2 linked regions of the Drosophila melanogaster genome follow. The protein of the gene in region 2 interacts with the protein of the main gene of each other region in a pairwise test. Each region holds a gene or a part of one and is shown on either strand. Other genes may lie near its edges.

Region 1 (10,431 bases), on a different chromosome or scaffold from region 2:
AAGGTGGAAAAATTCAATATTGTCAGTTCTGGAATACTGAATTTATATCGAAGGGTTAAATATTACAAATGTCTTAAAAAATAATTATAACAAAATGAATAACCAAGTTTATAAACTAGAATTTCATTACATTTAAATGTAAATGCAAGAAGATTAAAAGACGCATTGAGCTATCTAATAAAAAGTTAACAATTATCTGATTTATTTAAATTTTTAAAATTTTTGAAATGCAAATGAAGTGTTTTCTTATCTAAAATATGCATTTTTTTATGGTTTTACCTCTTGTATATTTATGGAAAATTAGGCATTTCTTCACAGATCGCTGCCAAATTGCCTGACAAAACGCCTAACGGAAAAGGGCTTTCCATCTTCTTTGGTTGCCAATTGGGTGGGGAGGGGGAGGGGCTTGCAAATTGGGAGCACTTTTCCAGGCCAAATTCGAGCACTCGTTCGCAGAGAAAGAGAGATAGGAATCGCAGTTGGGGCTTTGGGTTTGGCAGGTGGGTGGGTTGCTTTGGTGGCCAGGTATTCAACTCAGTTTCGTGAAAGTGCGAAATATTTTCGCTGCGATTTGCATTTGTTTGGCGGGGCAGTCAGGGGTAGGCAGGCGCAGGCCGGAGGCGTGGCAGCTCGAATTGGCGCCGCACATAAATGCAAATGCAAAAAGTGGCAAAAAGTGGTCGTGGGGGGCAAGATGATCAAGGGGGGGGGGGTGGTTTCGACGGGGTGTGGCAGCTGGTGAACAAAGTGTGGCATACATTTAGGCGTCGCCGCATGCAAATGTTTGACGTTATACAATAATAAAGGCAAATCCCCGGTAAAAAAGAGGGACCCACACTAATATACACATACATATATATATTTTTTATATTCTTCGGCTTATTTCTGCGACGTTTTTATTTCCCCGCCGGCTTGTTCAGCTTTTTGCATATTTTTCTTGTTCGATTTTTATCGCCGACGACGACGACGAAAATGTTGCGCAAATATTTGCGCTTTTATGTGCATAGCAAAAACCTTAGCTCCTCATTTTTTATGTCTCTTTTTTCCATCCGACTTGGAACATTTCACCACCCCCCATTTCTTTTTGTGCATTCAGATTTTCGCTTTGCAGATGCTTGTTGTTGCTGCTTTTTATGATTTACTTGTGCTTTGTGTTTGTACTTTGGTTCGTATTTGTGTTTGTGTTGGTATTGAAATTGCTACACTGAAAACAAAAAGTCGGCTTTTAAATTTGCTTTTGTTTTATTTAAAATTCCGTAGGAACTACTGGTTTGCATGTGCATTAACCAAAATATATTATATATATAATAATACTTTATATTTTTAAATATCAAATTGCCATCAAATTTTAAAAAGGTTTTTTTTGGAAATTTTTCTAATGGTTATGTTTAAAATATGACACGATTTTAAAGTTTTATATTGCCTTTTTTTGCTTTTTTATAGTTGAAATACATTTCAACACAAATTTTTTGTCTGTGTACTGATGTGTATACAGTGTTGCAAAGGTAAATTGGATTGAGAAATTGAAATCGCATTCAGCGGCAAAGGGGGCAGGCGGGCGGATGGCGAGAAATAGGGGGCAAGAGCAAAGGAGATAGAGGAAAATCTTTTCCGTTTTATTTACCTTATTGATTTTCCCTTTTGAACAGGTCGCTCTCCATGTATTTGTGCACCTCCGGCCGAGATAATCGAGCTGAAGTTGCATTTCCCACTTTGCTGGCGAAAAGTTTAATGGATTTTTCCACCATTCAACACCGAAAGGTGTGCTTTAAAAACTTTCCTGCTGTCACTTATTTCCCATTTCGTTCGTACACCTGCCGCATTTGCCATTTGTTCGACTAACTTAGGCTTGACAATTCTCAAAACATTCATCAAAGTCCGGCGCTAAAACCATTTCCGTGTTCTCATTTCTCCCCCCGCAAACATTTTGTCAAACATGAAACATTCGCCTAGTGACGTCACAACTAATTAGAGTGGAAAAAGAGGAACTTTTCTTTGTCACCAAGTCAAGTTATTTGTTTCTGAATGCTTTGCCTAATTAGTGACTTCAACTTTGCTAATATTATGAACAAATCTATAATTATAAGAAATAAAGAAACTATCTTATGTTCAGTCTTACTCTACTTTTAAGTTTTATTGAGAACTATTAGCTCTTCTCCATATAGCCAAGTTTAAACTTTCATACCTTGAAAGTTTTAATAATAACTACAAATCCTTAATGCTTGACTTCAAAATGTTTATTCGGTAAATATGAATATGAAAACACTATATATCTACGACAAACATGTTTCAGTTATTTGGTCTTCAGTGTGTGTGTGTGTATGTGTTTGTGTTTGTATCTGTAATGCAAAATGACTTAAATAACAATAAGGTTTCTGTTCGCGATTGGTGCAAACGTGTTGGTAGTTAGCCTAACCCAAGCACCCAAATCCCAGATCCACGTGGATGCGGCCCCATGGATCTCAGTAATGGCGCTGCATCACCCTGTCCAGATCGTTCCAACTGCATGAGTAGTCGATCTGCAGTAGACCCTTCTTGCTCAGTCCGAATTTACGTGCGTAAATTCCCGAGTAGAGCGACGAGTCACCACCGCTGGAATGATGGGGCGATGAGCCCCTAACCCGACTGCCATCACCACCCACCAAGCCGCCCATGGTTCCGTAGAGGGCGGAGGGTGCGGCATAGATCTGCTGCTGGCATTCGCTGCAATCCGGTATGCTGCAGTACGGCAGTGAAGCATAGGGATTACAGTAGTCGTAGGCGGGCGAAAGTGGCGGCGGTGCGGGGAAATCGATCTGCGGCGGAGCGGCCATGGGCGCCGCCTTACCGCTTCGCTTGCGCCGCGGATGGGGGGCAGTTCCATAGCTGCCGACCATGTTGGTGCTCCGCTGCATCTCGCTGGGCACGGAGCGGCGTTGCATCGTGGCCGCGCGTCGTTGGAGAACGGGCTGCTCATCGCCAATGGAGGAGGGATGCTCCGTGGAACTGGTGCTGGAGAAGCCTGAAACGTGTGAGATTACACGGCATTAGTGAAAGCTATCAAAATCATTTGGTATTTTACAACAGCTACATTTATATTTAAGCACTCGATGGGTTTAAAATCAATAAAACATTTATACTTACATATAGTTTGAAAAGGATTAGTAATCAAAATATATAACAAATACTAAGTAATTAATGATCCCCAAGTACAGAAAATCAAATTTCATTAGTCAAGCTCAAAAATCAATGATTTTGCCAGAGATTTGCAATTAAACGTTAATCGAATTGCCATAAAAGACGCACTGCGTAAATTGTAACAATCAAATGGAATCGAAAATGAAATCTAAATGCATTTGTGTGATTTGCATACAAAGCTAACTAAATAAATTGGTTATTACGAAACAAAAGGAATTTTAAATTAAAATCTAGTTTTAAAGGGGTTTCGAATTTGCATTTGCTATTTGCGTTTTTCACTCACCTCCAAAGCCATTGTACAGTTGCCGCTGCTCCTCGCCGTAAAGATCTTCCGGCTCCTCATCCTCGCCGTTGTCCAGGTGCAACTGCCTGGTCATGGTGGCCATGTAGTCCTCATAGCGGCTGGGCACACCGTAAATATCGCTCCTGGCCGTATAGAGTGGCTCCTTGCGAGCGCTGCGGCTACGGCGACGAGTCCTTTGGGGCACACAGCACTCAAGTTGGCACTGGGCACGCGACACCCGGCGACTTTGGGTGTGGGGGCGTGGCATTGTGGCCGACATGCCCACACCCATACCCGCACCGGCGGCACCCACTCCGTATCCGTATGTGGGACTGGTCGTCAGCGAGTTGCCACCACCTCCGTAGGCAGGTTCAATTGCCTCACCATCACCATCACCACCACCGCCACCGGTGACATCATCGATCTTCTTGCGAACATAATCATAGTTCTCCAGATCCCAGGGATCCACATAGCAGCGCTGCGAGGGCAGCAGCGTGGTGCCATATATATCCTCCGTGTTGTCAATGGTATAATAGGGGGATTCCAGGGCGCCCACTCCCTCCGAGGAGCTGCCACCAGGTAAGGCCTGTTTTGGACCGGCTCGTCGCCTTCTTGGGGTCGTTTGACTGCGTTCACGCATGCTGTAAGAAAAAAAGGCAAAGAAAAAATACATAAATATTGGTTGGGAAAATGCGGAGATGGTGCGCGTGGTGTGGGAAAGCCATGAGCAAGTGCATCAACTGGTTGCTTACGCAACGCACTTTGTGGCCAATACTGAAAACTCTTCCGTCAACGAATCGAACCCGTTCTTCGGCGTTGGCCGCGAATTTTCCGCGGCATTAATGCCGGCTTAAAATTGCACACCGGCTTGGCTATATCTTTTGCAGGTGTTACACTTCACGACTTCAGATTGCAACCATTAGCCGGTTTATGGATCTGCATAACTTAGCATGGCCAATCAATTGGCATTCCAATTGCCAATAAGCCGAGATATTCCATTAGCCAACAGACTGGTTTACGTCAAAGGAAAACTAACAAAAAACCCATCCACCCGTTTCGGGCATCGAAAACAAATTGCTTTACTTATCAAATTTCATTAAAAAAACAAAAAACTATTTAATTAAAATCTGAAATGGAGCCCGTCGGCAACTGTATAAATTTATAAAAATATGCGATACAAAATCAAGTGGAATAAGTGCCATGCAAAAAATACACAAATTTCCATTTTGTCGAGAAGGTTAACTAGATTTTCGATCAGGCTTGTCAGTTGCAGTGCCATCGAAATGGAATTAAAATACACCGAGTTTTCCATTGTAAAACTAAATAAATGAAAAACGTTCAGTTTTTTTTTAACTGCATATTCATTTCAGAGTTTATTTAACATAAAAGACAATATCAACATGTAATAAGCGAAAAACGGTTCACATTTCTTTCATTCGATTAAATCTCTACCGAAATCTGAATGAAAAGCATGAATGGGCACAGAAAATATTAATATTAATGCATCTGTTTCCGCAAAGTTAAAAAAAATACCTTAAAAAATATTAAATTAAATTTTTAGGCAAATTTTTCGGCTGATATTTTACATAGGCTTTTGGTTTTCTCCGGGGTTTTCCCCTTAATTATTTCTACAATATAAAACGCCCATTTCAAAAAAGGGTTTTGCGCAATCTTTTCGAGGCATTTGTGATTTGTGCATTTGCATAAAAATGTTGAGTTGGTTTTGTTTTTGCCTGGTTTGTTTTAATCTCTTCGGTTATCGATTAACATTTGTATGGCCTGATCAAGAAAAAAGGTTTCCGATGGGAATATATTTTTTATAAAATACACAAACTGTACCGCGAAAAAAAAATAAAACAACGTGACTTGGCTGTGACACGCAAATGAAATCGTTTATCTGTGTATCTTTCAGGGTCTATAAACTTTTTATGGCATATATCCAAACAAAACAAAATATGCACACAGAAGCCCATCTGAATGCACTTTCAGTGATTTGCACGCGAGTGAAAATGGTTTAGGGCTTGTTTTTTAAGCTATTTATTATTTAAAGGAACTCCAAAATGTAGTCAATCCAAAACAAACAATGTAGGCATACAAATTCTGCACTCTATACTTGATATTCCAGTTATTATTCTAGATAACTGATGAATAAATTGATAAGAATAATAAATGTTCTTGGTGGGTGAAAATCGCATTACGTATGCGCCACGTGGCCCTTTACCGTGAAAAGTTAATTGCATGCGCAGTGTTTAGACGCAATTAGAGTTGAATATGCAAACACATTCGTGGATATGGAACCACTTAAAACCCCTAAGACCCTGTTAATTAATTGGCATCTTCGGACGGCACTTCCACTCCTTCACTGCGGTTGGCTGATTGCCCCGGTCAACCTCAGATACAGATTCAATTTCGGATTCAGATTCATTTCAGCGTAAAGTGCCGCTTTGACTTTGGCTTCTGGCCATTTGCATATCAAATGTGACAAGTTCGCGTCGAGTTACTTTGTGTAATCAGTCGGGCTTGTTAGCGTGTTTGGTGATTGATAGTGGTTTTGGCCACCTGAGTTAGGCTTAAAATAAAAGACAACTATCAATATTTGTGCAAATCCGGGCTATTAAATGCTATTAAGACGGATGACCGTAATGGGATATTTAAATAAAGATTAAATTTAAGTATACTAAAAATAAACTTATTTAAGATAAATGTAGGTTTGTAGGTAGCAACCACAAACACTCTTTATAAATATTAACTGGTAAGATATTCCACTATTTATATTTTACTACTCAAAATTTTGCCCACCTCCATAATATTATTCGATTGACTTTGGTTTTCTCCGAATATTTCAATTAAGGTAATAATTAACAACCTGTCCATGTCTCATTCAGCACAAATTATGCAAAGGTAAGGTAAATATTTCGACATCGGATTATAATGCAAAATAACTGGAAACACGTTTGCCAAATGCCAATCGACCTTGCTAAGTATTCAAATATATAAATATTTATTCGAGTGATATCATGCCCAATTGTGGATTTACATCAAACCAATCGAGAGCAGGGTAAAATGAATTTAAAAAGTCACATCTTCTGCCGCACCTTTGAAAAAAGTATGCGAGACGAGCAGAAGTTTTTATCATGAATCACCTGAGAAGAACAGTTCTCTCGCATACCTGGGCGTAGTGCCCTAAAATGGTGATCATTACATTACACCTGAGATGCATTCGAATTTATGTGGCACAGACCCACGCAGATGATCACTCAATCTCGACAAGCCCGCAAAAGATTGAAAACGAACATCAGACGGAGCTGAAGATACACCTAAAAAGATACTTGGCAGCCTGCCCACACTAAAAAAATAGCAACTTTCTTTGCTTTTGACACAGTTTTCTGGGCAGTTTCATTCACCTTGTTATTTATTTGGTTTTGGTGTTGGTTATAAATTTGAATTTGTTTTATGCCGTCGGTCACTTGTCACAGAGCACTTTTATGGTTATAGAACGCTCTTTTAGCCAATTTGTGAATTGTAAATTTCAAACACGTCCGATCGGCACATGATCTACGCGCATGCGCAACCGCGTTGTGTTCGCTTCTTCGACCGGCGCTCAACTGTTTTGGCCAACGGTTTGAGCCAAGTTACAAGTCTTTGGCGCTTCTCTGCCAGCATGTTCGAACGGGTTTGATCCTCGGTCTGAGCTCACCTCACATGTTCGCTTGCCAATTTCCATCAAAATTAATCAGAGATCCCATTCAGTCTTTATGTCTTTGGCTAGATGTAATTTCGGCCGGCCTGTAAATTAATTAGCAGTAAATTAAAATGACAGCAGGTGGTTATGTCACAGTCGCAGAGCTACTCAAAGTCACATTGATATGCAAATTTGAGAGTCGTTGAAATGCGGCTGCGCCAGGGAAATGCCATAGATATGTAAGCAAAACTGGGCTTCATTACACAACGAATTGAAGTTGCTCTAAAGAAATGTATCTAAAAACTCAGTTAAAAAGTAGAAATTGTAATTTGAACTGTCATCATTTAGGAAAAGAAGCTGATTCATACCCAACATATATTACACCCATTTTCGAAACTCATTCAACTTAACCGCATAGTGACCATAGCCGTTGCTAGAGTAAGTGGTTTAAAAAAAAAAGCAGCTGCCAAGTTCAAGTCTTTTTCACTTGCGGAAAGAAATTGAAATCGCTGCTGAGAGAAATTGCATCACTTCAACTTCAACTTCAACTTGAACCGACATTCGGGTGGGGCAATGTGCGCCGCCTTTGAATTCATCAAAAGAAAACAGGTGATGAGCATCATTTCTCATTCGAGACTTTTCCCATCTCCAGCAGCTAAAGCCCAAATAATTTATGCAGTTTTTTTTGTTAGCTACCAAAAGGTATTTATAAAATTAATTGTTTGAAAAAACCTTAAAAAAAGCTTTCACTTTCAGTGCGGTGGCGGTTGGTTTTTTGTGTGGTATCCCCAAAGTCGTGCCGATATTTATGGTGTTTATTCAGTCAGGTCAGTTATTATTTCCTATTGCGGTGAGTGTCGAGTGCAAACAATCAATTGATGGCCCATAGACCAAACCAAAAGCAATTCAATTAAGCCAGCTCAAGTGGGCCACACTTTGTGGTCAGATGTGTCACCAGATAAAAAAGCAGGCAATTAACAAATAATTGTTTGGGGAATTTTAAAGGATTTGCGAAATCTCAGCGACCGCAGATGTTATGCTTCTTAAATTATTTAAAAATATAAATTCCTATCATATGTTAGTATTTATATACATATATATCTTTAGAAATATATCTATAAATGTCTTGCAAGCTCATGCCATTCAGCTTTCGAATGTTATTTGGATTTCTGGTCACGAGAGCTTCGAAAATTGTTGCCTTCACCGGGCATCCATCCATCCATTGAGTTCATTTAGCCAGCCTGCAGTTCATCAGGCCTACATTCCTTGCCGTAGAATCCCAACCCCAATATAGGTACATATGCACTATTTGGACCCATTCAGAGGCTCTGGAGCCAGAGCAATTTGCCGCTTTTAATGGCGAACGTCGTTTTGGGACTTGGGCAGCACACGTTGCCAACGCACAGGAAACCGGCTGCACCTGGCCACCCAGCGGGGGGCGGTGGTGATGCATTTTCCGGTAATGGTAAGGGGGTGGTAAGGGAGCGGTGCCGCAACCAGATGTTTGCCTTTGACTGGCGGCAGACTCGTTGATCTCTGCTCCAATTCCAATACGTATGTGTGTGTGTTTGCTCGGCTCTTTCGGTCGGTATCTATCTATCAGATACTTCGCACCGGCGACATTGCAACATGCTCTTAGTGATGGCAAGGAAAAACTGCAAAGCTATTTCATATTGGCAACAATATTGCACAAGTAGTAACATCAATGATTGAGGAGTACATATATCTGATTTCAATCGATATTGTAGGCCTCATATCGAATTGTACTGCCATAGAGCTTGCCATCAAAAAAAGATATACTATGTATCCTAAAGATATGAAAACATCTTGCATGAGTAATGAAGAACTATTTACATGTAATATAGCTTAATTCTTTGAATTCCTTACACTTATAAGTGAGTGATACTATGCATCTTTCAACGTTTTATGATTTCTTCAGTTTCTTTTGGTTATTACGATTACCACAACCAATGTGAATTGGCAACAGCTGCAGCGAGCATTACAGATGCTGAGTCGCAGATTGCGCTGCACCCAAGCCCAATACCAGTCGCAGTACCAGTACCAATACCTCTATACCTATCTACCAATCCAAATCCGAATCTAAACCGAATCGAATCGAATGGCTATAGCCTATAGCACATGACTCTTTTTACCGCTGTGCTCTACGCTTGTCACTCGGCTTGCCACTTTCGATTTTTCATAGCTGGGGCAGCCTCTGTGGCAGCGGCCTTTTTTGTTTTTTTTTCTTTCTTTTTTTTTGCAACTCACCGACGACTCCCTCCATTGGGGCAATAATTGTAAGTGGACCTGGGCATTTATGGCGTTTTTGCTACTCTGGCCCCATTTGGCCACCGTGTTGGACATTTTGCACGTGTTCGGCCCACAAAAGGAAAGCGACCGAATGGCAGAGAAACACAGGGAAGAAATATGGCCGGTAATTGTGTGCTTCCCATTTGGTGTGTCAGCAAAACGCTTTTTTGTGGTTCCTTTTCCAAACTCGGTACAATTGGCAGTATGTAAGAAGCCCTTTCCCAACATCCATCTTTAAGTGAATTATTCAAACGTAAATTAATCATTTAAGCCGAAATATGAGAGCCCAAAAGAATTTCATAAATTTGTTCAGCTCATCAAATCTACTAAGCTGTAAAAGATAAAATTGAGGATTACATTCATTTCCTTCAAAAAAAAAAAAACATAGCAATGCGTTTTAACCAAATTAAAACGTGTTTATATTTGACACAGTTAATATTTCATAATTTTACAATTATTTTGATTTATTATCAGTTGGCAATATTTGTTCTCAGCCATAAATCGTATCGATAAGCCACTTTTCGACTACGGTTTAACGACCCCGTCCCAACACAATGGGCCATAACTGAAACCATTAAATTTGTATTTAAATCCACTCATTGCTCAATCTGCTTGATGATGCAATAATGCCTAGTACTGCAGGCAGACATTGGGGCAACAAAAAGCCAAAAGATAAAAGACGAACTACATGAACATCAGCAGCAGCATCATCACCATCGACATCTGACATGCCGAGGGCCAGGCATCACCTCCATCGCCTCAATCGCCTTCATCTTCATCTTCGAGATCGTCTTCATCTCGGGCTCGAATCTGCCTCAATCAACTGCTGACGCACAGTTCAAGTGGCACTGGCACAAATCATCTTAACAAAAATTCACGTATGTGTGTAAAACTCAGAAAAAAAAATCAGCAAAATCGTAGACATCACGAGAGCTAGACATCTTTGGAGGCAACTCTGACATAATTTGGCCAAAATAGT
Region 2 (7,245 bases):
AGCCAACAAACCCACCGCAGCCGAAGTATCTGCCACCCCCACAGCCTAAGTCAGGCTATGATTACCCGAAGCCCGCCATTCCATTCCCAGCACCTACTAACCCACCTCAAAAGTACCTGCCACCACCGGTAATTCCCACTTCACCACCAGTACCAAAATATCTGCCACCTACAAACCCACCAACGCCCCAGTACTTGCCTCCGGTGCAGGTGAAGCAGGGTTACGACTATCCCAAGCCCGCCATTCCATTCCCGCCACCCACTGCCCCACCGCAGAAGTACTTGCCACCAGTGACCACAACACAAGCACCACCTCCACCTCCTCCCACATCCAAGTACCTTCCTCCACCTCAAGTTAAGCAGGGCTATGACTATCCCAAGCCCGCCATTCCATTCCCGCCACCCACTGCCCCACCGCAGAAGTACTTGCCACCAGTGACCACAACACAAGCACCACCTCCACCTCCTCCCACATCCAAGTACCTTCCTCCACCTCAAGTTAAGCAGGGCTATGACTATCCCAAGCCCGCCATTCCATTCCCCCCACCCACGAATCCCCCCCAGAAGTACATTCCACCCGTTGTGCCAACCAGCCCGCCCACTCCCAAGTACCTTCCACCCCCTCAGGTGAAGCAGGGTTACGACTACCCTAAGCCAGTCATTCCATTTCCCCCACCCGCTCCCAAGTCGGCGGGCTATTCCTACCCGAAGCCGGCCATCGCATTCGACTTTTGAATAACTCATCCGTCGATTGGCCCTCTCATCACTGATTAAATGACACAATTGCCTCTGTGTGCGCATAGTGATCCTTAGGAACGTACGAAATTGAATAATTGTAGTCTACTGTAATATTTTATTTAATAACTATTATTAATGATTTACCGGGGATCTTGCCTGCGGAATCTCCAATCGAACTTAGTCATTAAAATATGTTTTTAAAACTTATGTTTTAACGATTACGCAATGCTGCCGAATTAAAAATGACAATGTGAATGTTATGTTCTTACTGTTTTCTTTCAGTGTGTCGAAGGGTAAGACGTCTAGTCTTAGAGTGAAACAGCAGATCCCATCTAGAATAAACTAAAAATTCGGTCGAATCACATACTTTTAGACATCGCAGTTTATAGTGCTGGCTTGCCGAAAAGTAGAGTACATTTGGGCAACAAGAAATTAATAATTCTGCTCAAACTTCGGTAACGCGATAGCATTGGAATCATTCAACCTGCTATTTTTTAGCCGGAATAACAAAAGTCTTTCTGTGATACGGATATAATGCTATACATTGAGGCTTTTTATATTACTAAGATAAATTTTTTAATAAGTCTGCCTTACAAAATAGATCCATAATTCACTGGGTTTTTTTTAACTCTGTAGTCTGCCGCGAGGGACTTACTACATAAATATACACTTACTATATGCTTACTACATCCATATAAATCTTACAAAGGCCAAAAAGTATGCCTCGAATTTTCTTATGGTTGACTTTGAACTTGAAGCTTCAGATGACAATGCACTTGCTGAACAAAAAATTAATTTCGAAGCATTAAACGAGTTTCCGCATCTCGATTTGAACTAGTTTTTTCAGTTGCTGTATCGTCTCCGCTTGACGACAGCTCGGTATTAATGCCTGATAATCATTGGCTTTAGTGGCCAAAACTTCTTATTCTATTATGCAATATTATTGTTAGGCAAATAAGGGGGCTCCCGTCAATGGGGTTTCCTGTTAGTCGATTAATTAATCAGGCAGTGGAAGTATTTTTCAATATTTTTTTTATTTATGAATTTATTAATTTCGTTTCCCAGATGAAACCCGTGAGTCAAATAACAGGATTTGGCTCGGTTCGCTGGGGGTTCGTTGGAGCCTCTAGTAACGGTGACGGCGGAGGACCACGCGACGCTGGGTCTTGTAGCGGTATCCATCGTTGGAGGAGAAGGAGTGGGCGGGCTCAGAGGCGGCGGTCTCGTAGCTCTCAGCTGGGGCAGAGTAGGAAGCAGCTGGGGCGGAGTAGGAGACAGCTGGGGCGGAAGCGGCACCGCTGTAGTACTCGGGAGCAGAGTAGCTCTGAGAGGGAGCAGAGTAGGAGACAGCTGGAGCGGAAGCAGCAGCGGTGTAGGTGGCAGCAGGAGCAGAGTAGCTCTGGGCAGGTGCGGCGTAGGACACAGCTGGGGCGGAGGCAGCAGCGGTGTAGGTGGCAGCGGGAGCAGAGTAGCTCTGAGCGGGGGCGGAGTACACTGGAGCTGGGGCAGAGGCTGCTGGAGGCAGGTAATCGTTGGAAGGCAGGTGGCTCACATCACGACGGTGACGGCGGAGCACCACACGCTTGTGGGTCTTGTAGCGGTATCCATCGTTGGAGGAGAAGGAGTGGGCAGGAGCAGAAGCAGCGGTTTCGTAGCTCTCGGCGGGCTCGGCGTAGGAGACAGCAGGTGCGGAATAGGTCTGGGCGGGAGCGGCGTAGGACACAGCTGGGGCAGAGGCAGCGCTCTGGTAGACTGGAGCGGGGGCGGAAGCTGCTGGGGGCAGGTACTCACTGGTTGGGGCAGAAGCGGCTCCCTGGAAGGGGGGCAGGTAGTCGTTGGAGGGCACGCCACGACGATGACGGCGAAGGACCACGCGCTTGTGGGTCTTGTAGCGGTATCCATCGTTGGCCGAGAAGGTGTGGGCGGGCTCAGAGGCAGCGGTCTCGTAAGACTCAGCGGGAGCGGAGTAGGACACAGCTGGGGCGGAAGCGGCAGCGGTGTAGGTCTGAGCAGGAGCAGCGTAGGTCACAGCTGGGGCAGAAGCAGCAGCAGTGTAGGTGGCAGCAGGAGCAGAGTAGCTCTGGGCAGGAGCGGCGTAGGACACAGCTGGGGCAGAAGCAGCAGCAGTGTAGGTGGCAGCAGGAGCAGAGTAGCTTTGGGCAGGAGCGGCGTAGGACACAGCTGGGGCAGAAGCAGCAGCAGTGTAGGTGGCAGCAGGAGCAGAGTAGCTCTGGGCGGGAGCGGCGTAGGACACAGCTGGAGCAGCATAAGACACCGCTGGAGCAGAAGCAGCAACGGAGTAGCTGGACTCAACGGGAGCAGAGTAGGAGGCAACTGGGGCCGAGGCCTCTACGCTGTAGCTCTGGGAAGGAGCAGAGTAGGAAGCCACGGGAGCCGATGCTGCTCCACGGCCGGGGGGCAGGTACTGGCTAGATGGCAGGTGGCTGACATCAGCGGCCACGGCGGCGATGAAGGCGCAGAACAAGAAGAATTTCTGCAATGGAGAAAATGGCACATATTAGCTGATTATCCTAATGGCGCACCGTTCCTGGTTAATACCATTTTGCTGGGTGCTCGGCTGTCCAGTTGAACGGAGAGTGCAAGTGGAAGTGATGCCTTAGACAATGTTCTGCGGCTTATTTATATGATTCTAATCACCGGCCTGCGGCGAGAAATTTGCATTTGACTATTTAATTTATGAATTTGTATTTAGTGACACCGCCAAAACATATCCATTATAGTTTTGCAAGCAGGTTTGCAACGGGTTTTGCGCTCTGCTCAACTCCAGCGAGATCATGAGCCACGATTTGGGAGTCCCCCTTTCACCCCCGGCCTAACCGCCAAATCATCCAAACGGCCACTTAATATTTTAAGTATATTTCGTTAATACTTAGTGGCCAAGATCAGGTTCCATTGTTCCCCTATCCGCACTTGCCAATTTCTCCCAGACCAAACGCGTGCCAATTTCGATTCCCAATTCCGACCCACCCCAGCTCAATTTGCTTAATTGTCGATAATTATATTGTGGCTTAATCAACTGGTACTAATCGGGTTCTATGACTTCGGGTAATAAAAGCAGATGTTCGATAGCGGAGCGGAGAAAAGGCTAAAAACAGTTGGTAAGAAGCGAAATGACTGCCGAAAAAGCAATCAAATTGCGGAAATAAATCACGACCTCAATGCCGAAACAATACATAGATGTGACTGTCGAAAGCGATTGTATATCACCGGCTGAAAGAAAACCTGAACAAAATGAACTGAATACACTTTTGGAAAAATTACCTTTTATGAAGAGTCGAAGGAAAACATTAATAAAACGGGGTAATTAATTCTATTCCTCGAACTAGATTCTGCTAACAAAACGTTTCTATATTTAATTGCAAATCGTATATAAATAATATATCCACTATAAAATAACATTTTAATAAATTACATAAGCGTTTAGGTCATAAAAACCTATTAAATTAATAACGGCATATTAAAAAGACACACCATCCAAGAAAGTTAACATACCCTTACTTTTGTAGGTAAATGGTCTAAAAGCGTTAAGCAGGCTTGAACTTTTTGAAGATGAGATTGCGGAAGCTTCGGCATAAATAGATTTCAATTTCGATTATGTGTCAAGTGTATATTGCTTCTCTAATCCCACGTTCTTATGTGTATAATTAGATCGTGAAATAATGAATATATTCTAGCCCTAAAACCTTTTTATATTATTACATTAAATTATTATTTTTAAATAGGTTAATACATGTTTAAAAACTTTGTCGTTTTTTATTATTCTCTGGTTTATATATTATCCGCAAAGATTTATGTTTTATCCGAATATATTCCTCCTTCAGTCAATTCTATACATATAACCTTTTATCACCCAGCTCGTACACCCAACATAATAAAATTAAAAAGAGCTGAATGTATGGATTCGTTATCGTATTATTGTATTTGAATGAAAAAGAGGTATTCTAATAGTAGGGTCTGCACTCAAAAATGAGCACAATTCGATCACCTAGTGAAGCCTTTATCGGATGATTTAGTGGCGGCGCAACACAACGCGCTTGTGGGTCTTGTAGACGTATCCATCATCAGCCAGGACATGGGCGGGAGCCGCCTCGACGGTGTTTTCCTGGGGGGCAAGGTACTCGGCAGAGGGAGCAGACTGCACGGGAGGCAAGTACTCGTTGGAGAGCTCGTTCACATCACGACGGTGACGGCGGGTTACCACGCGCTTGTGGGTCTTGTAGCGGTATCCATCAACGGCCAAGTCGGTCTCAGGAGCAGTCTCAGCGGGAGCCAGGTACTCGTTGGAAGGAGCTGCGAAGGGGGGCAGGTACTCGTTGGAGAGCTCGTTGACGTCACGGCGGTGGCGGCGGTAAACAACGCGACGATGGGTCTTGTAACGGTAACCGTCATCGGCCAGCTCATGGGCGGGCTCAGCCTCAACCACGACAGGAGCGGGGGCGGCCAGCTGGACAGGGGCGGCGATCTGAACTGGAGCGGGAGCTGGGGCAGCAACCTGGACGGGGGCGGACACTGGGGGCAGATACTCGTTGGAAGGAGCAGCAGCCTGGACTGGGGGCAGGTACTCGTTGGAGGGCAAGTGGCTCACATCACGACGGTGACGGCGGGTTACCACGCGCTTGTGGGTCTTGTAACGGTATCCATCATCGGCCAAGATGGTCTCAGGAGCACCCTCAGCAGGAGCCAGGTACTCGTTGGAAGGAGCTGCGAAGGGGGGCAGGTACTCGTTGAAGAGCTCGTTGACGTCACGGCGGTGGCGGCGGACCACCACGCGCTTGTGGGTCTTGTACCGGTAGCCATCATCGGCCAGCTCATGGGCGGGGGCAGACTCGGCCTGCACGGGAGGCAGGTACTCGTTGCTGGGTCCGGCGATGATCTGCTGCTCCTGGACGGGAGGCAGGTACTCGTTGGAGGGCAGGTGGCTGACATCGGCAGCCACGGCTGCGATCACGGCAAAAGCGACCAGGAAGAGTTTCTGCAAGAGACAGTTGGGAAATTTGTTTAGTTTAGTCCTTCAGTGGCGATTCGATGGCTCCTAAATTGTCGAATCGTACCATATTGTCCGATGAGTTGCTTGTTCACAGCAGTAAAACCGAAACTCTAATGAGGAATACGCAGAACCTTTTGGTATTTATACAGATTCTCCGCTCTTCGCTGGCTATTACAGAGCTGGCGTTTTTTGCGCCTCTGCCCAAAAAGACGTCGCTGCCGGCGCAAGCGTCTGTAAATTCGCACGACTTCGGCTTTGGTTTGGCTAAGCTACGGGTTCTAAGCCGCTCTTTTGCGGCTCAAACGCAGCTTGGCCAACACGATAGACGGCGACTGCGACGCTTACATTCGCACAAGCTATAGCTTCGGAGCAGTTGATGGCTAAAAAAAAAATGTTTAATGGCCAAAATCGTTCGCACGGATTCTCTTAATTGTTTTATTTAATCATATGCAAAAGATTTGATGGACATCAACGTTTTGGACAAGTCGAGCGCGCAAAGATACTCACATACAAATATATATAAACATATACATATATCCGTATTAACTTGGCTCTCGTCTTGTTTACACCTCTTTGTGTTCGCTCCACCTGCCTGGTTTCATTCAAGCCGCTATTGGAATTGCGCTCGATATAAATTCAAATGATGAGTTATATGTTTCAATCAAATTCGCTCACTTCAATAGCTTTCCGAATCGCCACTCAAAAAGTCGATTATTTCGATCGCAGCCTCTTCCCATTGTGGCGATGTCGTTCGCCGTTCATTAATCAACAAATAGGAACTGACCAAGCGAGCCATTCAATTTTTGGAAATATGATATAATTATGCCTGATGCGTACGAATTGTATAAGTTTGTAAACCGAATGCCGGATATAGGATGACGAGATCTTCAGAAGATCCCATTGTGAATTCTAAGAACAATCCGCTTTGTGCGGATGCGCGCTTATCAATTACTAAGTTTGAAATGGCTAATAATATTTATTGACATTAAAAAAGACAACAGTATGGATATGTCTAAAATATATAATTGTTATTTAAAAATAAAATTTAAGTTTTAATAAAACATTGATTTGAAATCGTAATAGGTACAGCTTACTTTTAAAAACATGTTTTCTTATAATTATTAATCGACCAATTTGGTTGACACAGCACACTTAATCCCAGCTTAAGCATTTTTCAATATCATCCAGATGTGACATTTAATCTGCAAGTGATTTTTTGTGTCACTTCTGGTTAAAAACCTCTCACCAATTGTTTCCAAAATTAAACATGGACATGCAAGGGATGTCCGAATAAATCAAGTTAATCTGTTTCCACCTGCATATAAGGAGTATTTATTTTCGCTTATTTATGAGTTAGTTTAATTTTAAACGCATGCGCCAGTTGATAAAATAGGATTGAATGATTAAATTGAAGATATTAATGCGTTTAAAAAAAGAAGGCAGGCCATCAAGTCAAGCTAATCAATTTGTTAAGAGTCAAAGTGCAGCAAATGATTAATG

The links. The genes of interacting proteins can lie anywhere in the genome.
Region 1: the proteins of CG11350 (region 2) and CG8854 interact in a two-hybrid assay, tested with the Drosophila melanogaster proteins (one large-scale study listed by BioGRID).

The regions. Positions count from the first base shown.
Region 1 is NT_033778.4:12,222,244-12,232,674, forward strand, and holds CG8854 (uncharacterized protein), read right to left. Parts: upstream 7,068-10,431; 5' UTR 6,865-7,067; intron 4,604-6,864; exon of another isoform or gene 4,102-4,603; 5' UTR 4,101-4,101; coding exon 3,461-4,100; intron 3,002-3,460; coding exon 2,463-3,001; 3' UTR 2,218-2,462; downstream 1-2,217.
Region 2 is NT_037436.4:4,478,898-4,486,142, reverse strand, and holds CG11350 (uncharacterized protein), read right to left. Parts: upstream 3,335-7,245; 5' UTR 3,300-3,334; coding exon 3,297-3,299; intron 3,232-3,296; coding exon 1,864-3,231; 3' UTR 1,773-1,863; downstream 1-1,772. Other genes in the region: CG13722 (uncharacterized protein), read left to right, coding at 1-734; CG7465 (uncharacterized protein), read right to left, coding at 4,768-5,730, 5,810-5,812.